Linked DNA regions of Callithrix jacchus. The protein of the gene in region 1 purifies or fractionates together with the protein of each later gene. This does not show direct contact. Links are inferred from orthologs where the notes say so. Each region holds a gene or a part of one and is shown on either strand. Other genes may lie near its edges.

Region 1 (3,743 bases):
TAGCTATTATTACTGCTCACTTTTATTTGGATATGCTGTATGCATTTTTACTCCAGGAACCGTAAATTCCCTTTTCTTATTTCAATACCTCAATCTCTAAAGGAAGGAGTCCTTTAAACTATCAATGACCAGCAAGAGCCAATTGTTACTGCTGGAAACACAACTTACATATTCTTTCTACAACAGATAGGACCTGCAAATAAAGACCCTAATCTACTAAAGATAATGAAATTTAAGACTGGATGAAATAAATAAAAGATAATATTTCCTTCATTCAAGAAACAGCAAATTTATGGAATGTGTTAAATAAAAACCTGAAAAATATAAATGGGTTCTGGATTTAGGGCACCCTCCAACTTTGGCATATATTAGAATAACCTGGGAGCTTTAAAAAACAGTTGCCTGGGCCCCATCTCTGATTTTTTGAAGGGGAAGGCCTCAAGCTCTTGAATTTATTTTAATGCCTCATAGGTGATTCTCCGTGCAACCACATCTGACCATCACGGGTCTAGTCAAGAGAAACTTTGGTTTAGGGAGGCTGATCATGTTTGGCATATATTTTTCTCGATGTTTAAAAAAAAAACCCAGCATACTAAGAGAATTGATTAACCTACAATGACTTATGTATTTATGAAGTGTTCTAAAAAAAACAAACAAAAACCAAAGAAACAAGAAAACCAAACTTTTCAACTTGATTTAGGGTTCAGAAGAAGATACATCTCAAATACCACATTAAGCATTCATCTAAAAGTCTGCCGGTTAATCTGACTTCTATTAATTAAAAAAATTCAAAACGGAATTACTTAATATAGATTTAACTACGTACAATATTTACAATTTACAGATTTTACAACAAAATGATACTGTTAGGCCTATTGTGGAAAAGTTGGCATTTTGGTATATAACACTTAAGAAATTTCAAAAACTTTACTTCAAAAACATTGTATACAAATTTACCAAAGTGCTGTAGCTCATTTTATCTCAACAATACAGTTAGCGATCCAGGTGCCCAAATCTCTAGGCGTGTAACCGATAAGCTATTGAGACAGCACTTTTTATACAATAGCAGAGGCTGTTAGAAACCTTAGGTCTTTAAAACTTTATAACAATGCCCCTTTCACCCTCCAATCCTGAGACAACAAGTCCTGTAGTTCCCCCTCATCATCGCTGTCAGCATTCTCTTCTTCCTTTTTCTGCAATTCTTTTATGGTCAGGATTTCTTTAAGTTTATTTTTTATTTCATCCTGGCGATTCCGTAGCTTTTCCACCCGTCGGTAACACTCTATCTGCTCATCGATCTCCCCAATCTGACGGTCCAGCCGTCCCTCCTCATCCTCTTCGGCAACTATGGCTTCGGAAATAGTGTTGACCTGCCTCATGGCTTTTTGAAATTCGTCCCACTCTTTGTCCATCTGATCTTTAGGGGCATCAACCTTTCGTACTCTTGCATCTACCTCAGGGTCGTCAAAAAAACCTTCCGGTAACGCTTCCGCGGTGTTTTCTCTCCTTTCCACCACCTTTTCATGGATTTCTGCTTTCTCAATTGACCCTGAATGAGGAATTATGGGGGCCTTGGGAGGATTATTATTAAAGAAATCGTCCGGCAGCACACTACTTGTTACCTCCCGCGAAGAGGAAACTGAGTGTTCCTTGCCCTGTGCGTCGGACAGCAACTTGCTGGCGTCCCCGCTTTTTCTTTCTCCACCTCCTTCTTCCTCTTCCTCCTCCTCCTCATCTTCATAATCGGGGAGTAAACTGAGTCCTGAAGGCTTACTGGGAGTCGCTCTAATGGACTCCTTTCCTATTTTGTCAAAGTTGGTGGGCAACGCAGATGTGGAGGGCTGTACCTGAGGCACCAAGGTGGCCTTCGTTCTCTTGGCATCTTGGCCGTCTGCGTCTGGCGCTTTCCTCTTGACGGACTGAGGCGCTGAGCTGGCTGACGGACCCTGGCTGGTTTCCTTCGCGCCTTTCAGCTCGGCCACTTTCTCTCGGTGCTGCTTTCCCAGGACGTGAGTCTGCCACAGAAGCTCACTCTTAACAGGCGTGTTACACAGGACACAACTCAGCTGTCCCAAACGGTTGTACTTAGCGAACGGAGATTCTATCCGTTTCCGATTAGTGCTCAGACGCTGCTTCTCCTTCATTAACCGCCGCAGTTCTTCCTGATTTACCACTCGCTTCCCAGCCGGAGTCCCAGCGGAGGCGGAGAACGCCATCTTGGCGACCAGACCCAAAGCGAGTCCGGCTTCCGTCCGGCGAGGTATGATAACGTCACTTTTTTTTTAAGGGCGGTGATTGGCCGAGGCTCAAGTGAGCGTGGCGTGGCGTGGCGTGGCGTTCGGGTTTTTGCTTAGAATCGCCACTAAGTCATGTGTGTGCGTGTGCGTGTGCGTGTGTTGTTTTCGCCCTGAGCGATTAGGCTATGGCTGCGATAAAGGCCGTAAACTCCAAGGCTGAGGTGGCGCGGGCACAGGCTGCCTTGGCCGTCAATATATGCGCCGCCCGAGGGCTGCAGCATGTGCTGAGGACCAACTTGGGTCCTAAAGGCACCATGAAAATGTGAGACGGCGGTTGGAGCGGCCGTTAGGCGGCTGGGGGCTTGTTGGGTGTCCTGGCGCCCTCTGAGGCAGGCGTCCACGGAGCGATGTGGATGTTCTTGCGAGCTTGGTTTCCCTCATTCTCATCCCTGACCTGAGGGTATCTCTCATCTGGTGCGGGTGGAGGAATAAAGCCTCCCTTAATAGAAGGTCCAAGGGGTGAAGCTATGACACCCCCTGACCCCCCACTTTTCCTCAAGGTTCACATGCAGTTAGAAAGTCAGTTAATTTAGTGTCTCATTGAAAATATAAAGCATTTAACTCCTCTGCTCTTTAAAACTGCATGCCCTTAGCCCATACATTCAACAGGTAGTTATTTTTGTTTTTTTGTATGGTAATGTATTGCAGTGGAGAGGGCACAGGGTTTAGAGCCAGGAAGGTGGCATGGGATCAAATCCAAGTTCCCGTGCCTATGGTTCTTCATATCTATTTATCTTTTCAATATATATTAAGCACCATTTTCTCTAGACAAGAGTGAGGAAAAGAAACCAGTGAGGGCAAAAGGGTATAAGTGGAGAGACACACTGTCATAGTAATGAACAAAATAAATTAATATTAATGGTAGAAGAAGTCACTTAGGTACTAGCTACTGGGACGCAGAAATGATCAAGATACAGTTTCTGTCCTAAAAAAGGTGTGGTAGAGATGTAGAGTCGGATGTGCTAATTACATACAGATGCATATGATTATGCTGAGGAAAGGGACTAATTACTGATGGCAGAAGGAAAAGCTTCTTAACTAACAATGTTTTATCAGAGTCTTGAAAGAAGAATAAGAGTTCACTAGTTGGAAGAGGGAGTAAAGGCCTTCTGGGCAGAGGGTAATTTCAGGAATAAGAGAGACCAAGGATGCAAATCCAACAGTAACAAAACAAAACACGGTGTATTAAGGGAACTAGAAGATTTGCTCGTAAGAAAGCAGATGAGGCAGGGAAGACAGACATAAACCAGATTGGGAAAGGTCAAGTATGCCATTGCTATGTTTGGATTTTAACTTGAAAATGTTGGAAAACATAAAAATCATTGGAGGACTTTTGATCAGGGAACTGACTGAATCACATTGCCTTTTAGAAAGAAAAATGTGTGGAGGATATAGGAGGGTATATTCAAGTTTGGAGATATCTGGATGTCATCCAGGGTAGAGATG
Region 2 (3,608 bases), on another chromosome or scaffold:
TTGGCCTAGGGGTGCTGTACACTGTCTGGGTTTGATTCAGAACCAGCATACCCTTCAGGGAGCGCTATGAGGAAGCACCCGCAGGGAGCACCAGGTCACCTCCCCGGCCACCCCAGTCAGCCCCAGTCAGCCCCAGTCAGCCCGGCCAACTCACAATTGAGACTTGTTGCTGTTGGGTCCTGAGTTGGCCATGCTGAGGATGCCACGGCCCGTGTGCGAGAGGTTGGGCCGGAACTCATCTTTGAAGGGCTTCCCCCAGTACGACTCCCCGCCTGGAAGAGAAAGACCCACAGGAACAGGAAGGCCTGGGCCCCAGCCAAGGCAGAACCAGAAACCTCAGAGTCCCAAGGGGCATCAGGGCCTTGCTGAGCCCAACCTGGGGCATAGGCACTTGATAAGGTGGTCCCCAGCCCCACATCACCAACTCCTGGGCCCCTTGGAGCCCCCATGCCTCCACACAGGCAGGCTGCTGCCCACTCACCCCAGGTGAGTGGGTCCTGCCCCAGGACAGGGATTAAAGGGTCAAGGCCACCATCCTCATCACTCGAGCTATGGGAGTACGGAGATGGGAGGGCCTGGGCCCAAGCAGCTGCAGGCTGAGGAGCTTCAAGAGGCTGCAGGTGGAAGGCCTGGCCTCCAGGGGCCCAGAGAGGATGCCACACATGCCTGCATCCTCTACTATGCAGGCCTCACAGCCACCCGGAAATGAGAAAGCCAAGAGCCAGTCCTGAGAGGGCACAACACTGATGGCTGCCAGTCGTTCCACCCTGGTCTAGCGGATTCCACAGCCCAGCTACCCCCTCATGCCCCAAGGAGCAGCCAACGTGCCCAAAGAGGGGCCCAGCACCAGTACCTACCTGTGCCTGTGCCTGTGGGGTCACCCCCTTGGATCTGTGAGAACAAAAACCAATGTGCAAGTCACACCTCGAGACCTAAGCCCACCACCTGCCCAACCAAAGGAGATCCCTCCTGCCAGATGGCTCCTCACAGGGCCTGGGCTCCTGACAAGGACGAGGGGCCCTCCCAGCCACCTCCCTGTATGAACCCAGTTCTGGATGGGCTGGAGTCTGGAGAGACAGCCTGTGCATTCCCCAACAGAGGATCACCGACTGACCACACTGTGGTCTCAGGGCCCTGGGTCAGGGCAGGGACAAGCCTACCCAGACCCTGATGTCCCACCAAGCACATCTGTGCAGCCAGTGACTCGCGTCACTCACCACGAAGTTCCGGATGGATCTGTGGAAGATGGTGCCATCGTAATAATGCTTTTTGCAAAGCCTGATGAAGTTTTCGCAGGTTTTTGGTGTCTGCAACATAGTCCCGATGCATGTATGAAGCAGAGAGCGGCCAAAGGCAGCTCACCACAGCCACAGGAGGCCCTTTTTTTTTTTTTTTGAGAGGGAGTCTTGCTTTGTCACCAGGCTGGAGTGCAGTAGTGTGATCTCGGCTCACTGCAACTTCTACCTCCCAGGTTCATGTGATTCTCCTGCCTCAGCCTCCCACTCTAGCCAGGACTACAGGCTTGCGCCACCAGGCCTAGTTAATTTTTGCATTTTTAGTAGACAGGCTTTTACCATGTTGGCCAGACTAGTCTCGAACTCCTAAGCTCAAGTGATCCACATACGTTGACCTCCTAAAGTGCTGGGATTACAGGCATGAGCCACCGTGCCCAGCCAGGACGCCTTTAACATCCAGCAGTCAGCTGCCCAGCCACACCGGGCAAGGATGGACCCACAACACCAAGCAGCAGAACCTGCGCAGCCGCATGGCCCAGAGCAGAGCGCACGGGAGAAGTGCAGGCAGAGCAGCGGGTGTGGCCTGGTCCCTTCTCTGGGACACTGGCACCTGTGCACAGGGCAACACAGCCCCCTAGGAAGGACACAGGGCACCGCTGTGGGTCCCGCCTAGTGACAGGCTGAGTTTTTTTTACAAGCACATACCAGTGGCAGCCCTATATTGAAGACATGGCTGTCAAATGACCCCAGAAATGACCTCGGGACACGGGGAGGGAGCGGGCCACCACACCCACCAGGTCACAGTGCAGCTCCAGGTTGAGATCGCCCCTGTTGGTGTGCAACCGCACATAGCCCTTCTTCCTCACAAACTGGTAGCGGAGCACGTCCTCGTCAATGGCAGCTACAAGCAGAGGTCCCAGCTCAGCCCCTGCCCTCGCCCTGGGGGCGCCCCACGGTGCCAGGTAACACGGGCCAAAGACACAGAGGCATCTGGCCAAGGACTAGGTTCCAGCTCTGGAAAGAGCACGGGAGCCAGAGGCCAAAGTCTTCTGCTCGGGCCATGCACAGGCTCACCCCAGCCTCATGGGCCTGACAGGGGCTCAGCAGCTAAGAGGGGGAGGACTGGAGACTCAGGTGTCCATGGGAGCCCCTGACAGGCCAAAAGAGTGGGAATCAGGGGAGGGCACCCACCCCCTGCCACTGTCAGGTCACATGGCAGGTGTCTGCAGAGGCAAAGGTGGTTACCTGCTTCGTGTGTGGTCTCTGGAACCATTGCAGTGGAGGTAAAGGAAGCGCTGACCTTCCCTGTGGAATAGTGGGCCTGCCAAGGAAACCAGGGTGGCACCTCAGCAGTGCCATGGGAGGCTGATGGGCAAAAATGTGGTGCCTGCCTAGAAGCCAACCACACCCCACCCCTGACCCCCAGGCCCTGCTCAGTGCTTCTCCTCCAGCAGGGCCTCCCTGACTGGCGGGAGGAAGGAGGACAGGCCGAGCCAGGGGCCCCTGGCCTCAACCGGGTCCCGACTCAGGACGTTAAGTAAAACCCTGTAGATAAAATACCACACAGGACCTCAGGGTTAGGAGTGTATGAGTGAGTTCTCATTTCTTTTTTTTATGAGATAATGTCTTGCTGTGTACCCAGGCTGTAGTGCTGGGGTGTGATCCTGGCGCACTGCAGCCTCCAAATCCTGGGCTCAAGTGACCCCCCCCCTACACCTCAGCCTCCTGAGTAACTGGGACGACAGGTGTGTGCCACCATGCCTGGCTGATTTTTGGGGGTTTTTTGTAGAGGTAAGGTCTCACTATGTTGTCCAAGCTAGTCTCGAACTCCTGGCCTCAAGCAATCCTCCTGCATCAGCCTCCCAAAATACTGGGATTGCAGGCCTGAGCCACCATGCCTGGACTCACTTCTTTACTTATTTATTAACTTATTAATTTTTGAGACGGAGTTTCACTCTTGTTGCCCAGGCTAGAGTGCAATGGTGCCATCTCTGCTCACAGCAACCTCTGCCTCCCAGGTTTAAGCGACTCTCCTGCCTCAGCCTCCAGAGTAGCTGGGATTACAGACATGTGCCACCACGCCCTGCTAATTTTGTATTTTCCGTAGGGACAGGGTTTCTCCATGTTGGTCAGGCTGGTCTTAAAACTCCCAACCTCAGGTGACCCACCCACCTCGGCCTCCCAAAGTGCTAGGATTACAAGCATGAGCTTGTACCCGGCCTGGCCTAACTTCTTTTTAAAAGTCTCAAACTTTCTGAAGTAAACACATTACATATTTAATCAGGGGTGGGGGGGTAAAGTCCCAATAAATGTTGTTTTTTTATCACAGAGGAAGAAAAAGGGGTTTCTTTCATCAGAAGAAAATATAAGCCA
Region 3 (3,608 bases), on another chromosome or scaffold:
AATTGAAAACAGGGATTTAAACATATACTTATATGTGGATATTCACACAGGCATTATTTACAATAGTCAAAAGATGAAAACAATGTGCAAGTATCAATCAATAAATGAGTAAACAAGATATTTATTCCAAATATAACAGAATTATTATTCAGCGATAAAAAGGTATGCAGCACTGATAAATGGTAATGGATGAACCTTGAAACCATTATGTTATGCAAAATAAGACATGAAAAAGGATAACTATTGTATGATTCCACTTATTTGGAAAATCTAGGATAGGCCAATTCATAGACACAAAGATTAGAGGTTATCAGAAGCTAAGGGGAGATGAAAATGGGGAGTTATTGTTTAATAGGTACCTCTAATAATAAGAGGTTTTGGGCTGGGCACCGTGGCTAATGCCTGTAATCCCAGCACTTTGGGAGGCCAAGGAAGCAGATCACAAGTCAGGAGTTTGAGACCAGCCTGACAAACATGGTGAAACCCCGTCTCTACTAAAAAGACAAAAATTAGCCAGGCATGGTGGTGTATGCCTGTAATCCCACCTACTCAGGAGGCTGAGGCAGGAGAATCGCTTGAACCTGGGAGGTAGAGGCTGCAGTGAGCTGAGATCGTGCCATTGCACTCCAGCCTGGGTAACAGAGTGAGACTCCATCTCAAAGAATAAAATAAGAGGCTTTGTTTAGGGTGATTAAAAAATTTCAAACAGTGATAGTGTGAACATAATTAATGCTAACAAACTGTACACTTTAAAACTTAAAAAGCGGGGAGGAAGAGACAATAGCAACAAAAATTTCTGAAGTTAGAAAACAAATAGATGAGCCCTAAATGATAAAGCAGTCCCAAGAAAGCTGAATCTTAAGCTGGTAAAAGCCAAGAAGCAACTCAGTTTGCACTCCAAAATCTCAGAGAAACAGGTGCAGGTAATCCTGGAGATAGTAAGTTTGGCTGAAAGCCTGTATAAGAAAGTGGTTAATCCTTGGGCTCCTCTCCCTGACTCTGCAGCTGGGGGCCACCCTCCTCCACCTGGTAGCCAGCTGGGGGTCTAGTCTTTGGTAGGTTAAAGCAGGGGCTCTTTGCACTAGGATATCCTACATGTAGTGAGGGCTGAGGTATATAACGACAAGTGGAGATTACATGAAAGTTGATATACCGAATGTTGTGGCATTCAGCCCTGCCCTCATCTCTGCCTAACAAGATGCAGACACCTGGATGCAAAGGCCCCAGCAGGATAATCTGGGAGAAAATCAGGATTGATTACATCGAAAACTGCACAAACAAGGCAATTATCAATTCCAGGCAAAACAAAATGCTGTGCATGAAAGGAAGTTATCACATGGTGTCTACATTGTTAAAATAATTTAGGACCTAACAAAAATTATAGTACCTATACAAGGAAGATGAGGGGCCAGAGAAGGGGAATTTTAAAAACTAATTCCTCGTCCTCTGAAGTAGAAAATCAGAAGATAATGCTTAAAACGGAAAACAGCAAGTAGAAATATAAACCTGTTATCTATCAACACGGAAATAAAAATCAAAAGACCTAAGAGTTGAAATCGGCTCCTCGGAGGAACAGCAAATGGCGCTGGCAGCAGGGCATAGGGACACACCAGGGGACGACTGTTTTTCCAAAACAAGCTTTGTGAAGTTGAATTGACTCTTTATATGTCTAGATAATAATAAAATTTAGATTAAAAAGAGAATAAATAGAGTCAATATTTAATAAGTTACAAAGAATACTCAGTAAAAGCACTAGCTACTTCTAGAATTTAGGACTGGATGTTGAGGGGGAAAAACAACTTAAGTTTTCAGTTTATTGTCTTAATTATTATTGGAATATATGTGTATGGTATTCTTTTTTTTAAAAAAGAATATAATATTTACTTGTATTTTTAAAAAATGATTATTAAAAGGTAGTAAGTCAGCACTTATAAAGCTTCAAAAACACCTGTTCTGACTCATCTGTTACTAGATCCCAGGATCTGAGATGCTTCAAATCAACTTAGGTCAGAAGCAATATTGAGGGCACAAGAAGTAAAGTGGCAAGCACCTGGGAAAGGCTCACTGCTCAGCCACCAGCGTCCCGCTCACCTGCTGTCATGGGCACAACGTCGGAACGCAGGAGCATCTGGATGCGGCCGGCCGGCTTGTTCCCAATCTTAATGTCCATGTACACCTGAGGATTTGACCGGGCCTTTTTAGCAGCAGGCTCTCCCTAGGTGCAGAAGAAATTGCTAGTTAGAGAGAGCTCCCTGATGCCCCAAGTAGGAGCTTAGTATTCTATACACCCACCCAGAACACAGCTCCAATGAGCAGGCTGGAGCAAGTGCTGACAGGGAAGGCCTTGGCCTTGACAGGGCTGCAGGAGGCAGGAGCCACAGCCGTAGCGCCCAGCTGGATGCCCAGCAACAGGAGACCTCAGTACTGGCTAACCTGAGCCCCATACACAGGCATGTTATCTCATCAGGCTTGCCCTCAGAAGCATCGGTTTCCTCCTCTTGCTTTACAGTCACAGAACAGTGCTTTTCTGGCCTATGATACACAACTGTCAACATCTTCAAATGGCAGTTCCAGCCCACACACTGTCCTCTAGTTAGGCAGACCATGTCCCACCACCTCCTCCCTCTATGCTTGGCCCTGCACATATGCTGGCTGGCTACACGGAAGCAAGGGGGCAGCCCTCTTGCTCAGATCTAAGTGCTCAGAAGACAGTGGAGGATGCTGGGCCTTGCTTTGTGCTCCAAGTAGATAAGACTAAGCAGCGGATACAGGGTGATCCAGGGGGACTCGAGTGCGATGGCCACGTTATGAGTTCTGCTTTCCATCCAAATTTTTGGCTTGGGCCAATGTGTGGATGAATGGTAGCAAATTAGCCAAGACTGAGATCACAGAAGACAGGATTAGAGAAGGAGGGGATCCATTTTAGGCAAACTTAGGCTGCCTATGAGACTTGCAGGCAGAAATATCTGAAGCTCAGGACTAGAAACAGAACATGAAGGTCAACAGCATAAGAGAGGCTGCATAAAATTACAGACTGACTGCTACTGTTTCAGCTGAGAGAAAAGAGCGAAACCATGAGCCAACAAAGAAATACAGAAGAATGACAACACTCACAAGGTACCCGGAGGAGGGGAAGTCCAAGAAGCAACTGTCAGAGACCTATGCTGAGAATCAGGGGGAAGTGCCCTGGCAGGTTCTCTTAGGACTAGAGCACTGTGAACCCATGTACAGGGTGAAGGAAGGTGGCACTACCCTATCCTTTCACCCCTGCATTAGCACAGGAATAAGAAGACCATGAACCTCGTGCCAAACTCCTCAGTGAAGGAGGGGGACTGATCAGAAAGGATGAAGAGGGGCACCTCAGCTTTCTCCCCATCAGCTGATAATCACAAATCCATACATGAGCAGAGCTGAGATGTTCATCACAGAGAACACAATGTGGATGAGAGACCCAAAGCTTTGCCCTTGCATTCACTCAATACTGACTTTACCAAAGTCCTAAGAATTCATTATTCATTCCCTCCACTTTGGTATGTGTATTTGCAAATTTCCATTAAACTTAAAAAAGGCCGGGCGCGGTGGCTCACGCCTGTAATCCCAGCACTTTG

The links.
Region 2: the proteins of ZNF830 (region 1) and PPIL2 purify together in Homo sapiens (co-immunoprecipitation; 4 studies listed by BioGRID and IntAct, counting the BioPlex papers as one, with this or other methods). This does not show direct contact. The link is inferred for Callithrix jacchus from reciprocal best matches to the Homo sapiens genes ZNF830 and PPIL2.
Region 3: the proteins of ZNF830 (region 1) and PPIE purify together in Homo sapiens (affinity purification with mass spectrometry; 3 studies listed by BioGRID and IntAct, counting the BioPlex papers as one, with this or other methods). This does not show direct contact. The link is inferred for Callithrix jacchus from reciprocal best matches to the Homo sapiens genes ZNF830 and PPIE.

Annotation. Positions count from the first base shown.
Region 1 is NC_133506.1:99,202,411-99,206,153, forward strand, and holds ZNF830 (zinc finger protein 830), read right to left. Parts: upstream 2,244-3,743; 5' UTR 2,217-2,243; coding exon 1,101-2,216; 3' UTR 602-1,100; downstream 1-601.
Region 2 is NC_133502.1:193,655,652-193,659,259, reverse strand, and holds part of PPIL2 (RING-type E3 ubiquitin-protein ligase PPIL2), read right to left. Parts: intron 2,557-3,608; coding exon 2,481-2,556; intron 2,137-2,480; coding exon 2,030-2,136; intron 1,308-2,029; coding exon 1,218-1,307; intron 892-1,217; coding exon 858-891; intron 273-857; coding exon 155-272; intron 1-154. UniProt on the Homo sapiens protein: Has a ubiquitin-protein ligase activity acting as an E3 ubiquitin protein ligase or as an ubiquitin-ubiquitin ligase promoting elongation of ubiquitin chains on substrates.
Region 3 is NC_133508.1:76,298,918-76,302,525, reverse strand, and holds part of PPIE (peptidyl-prolyl cis-trans isomerase E), read right to left. Parts: intron 2,216-3,608; coding exon 2,092-2,215; intron 1-2,091. UniProt on the Homo sapiens protein: Involved in pre-mRNA splicing as component of the spliceosome. Combines RNA-binding and PPIase activities.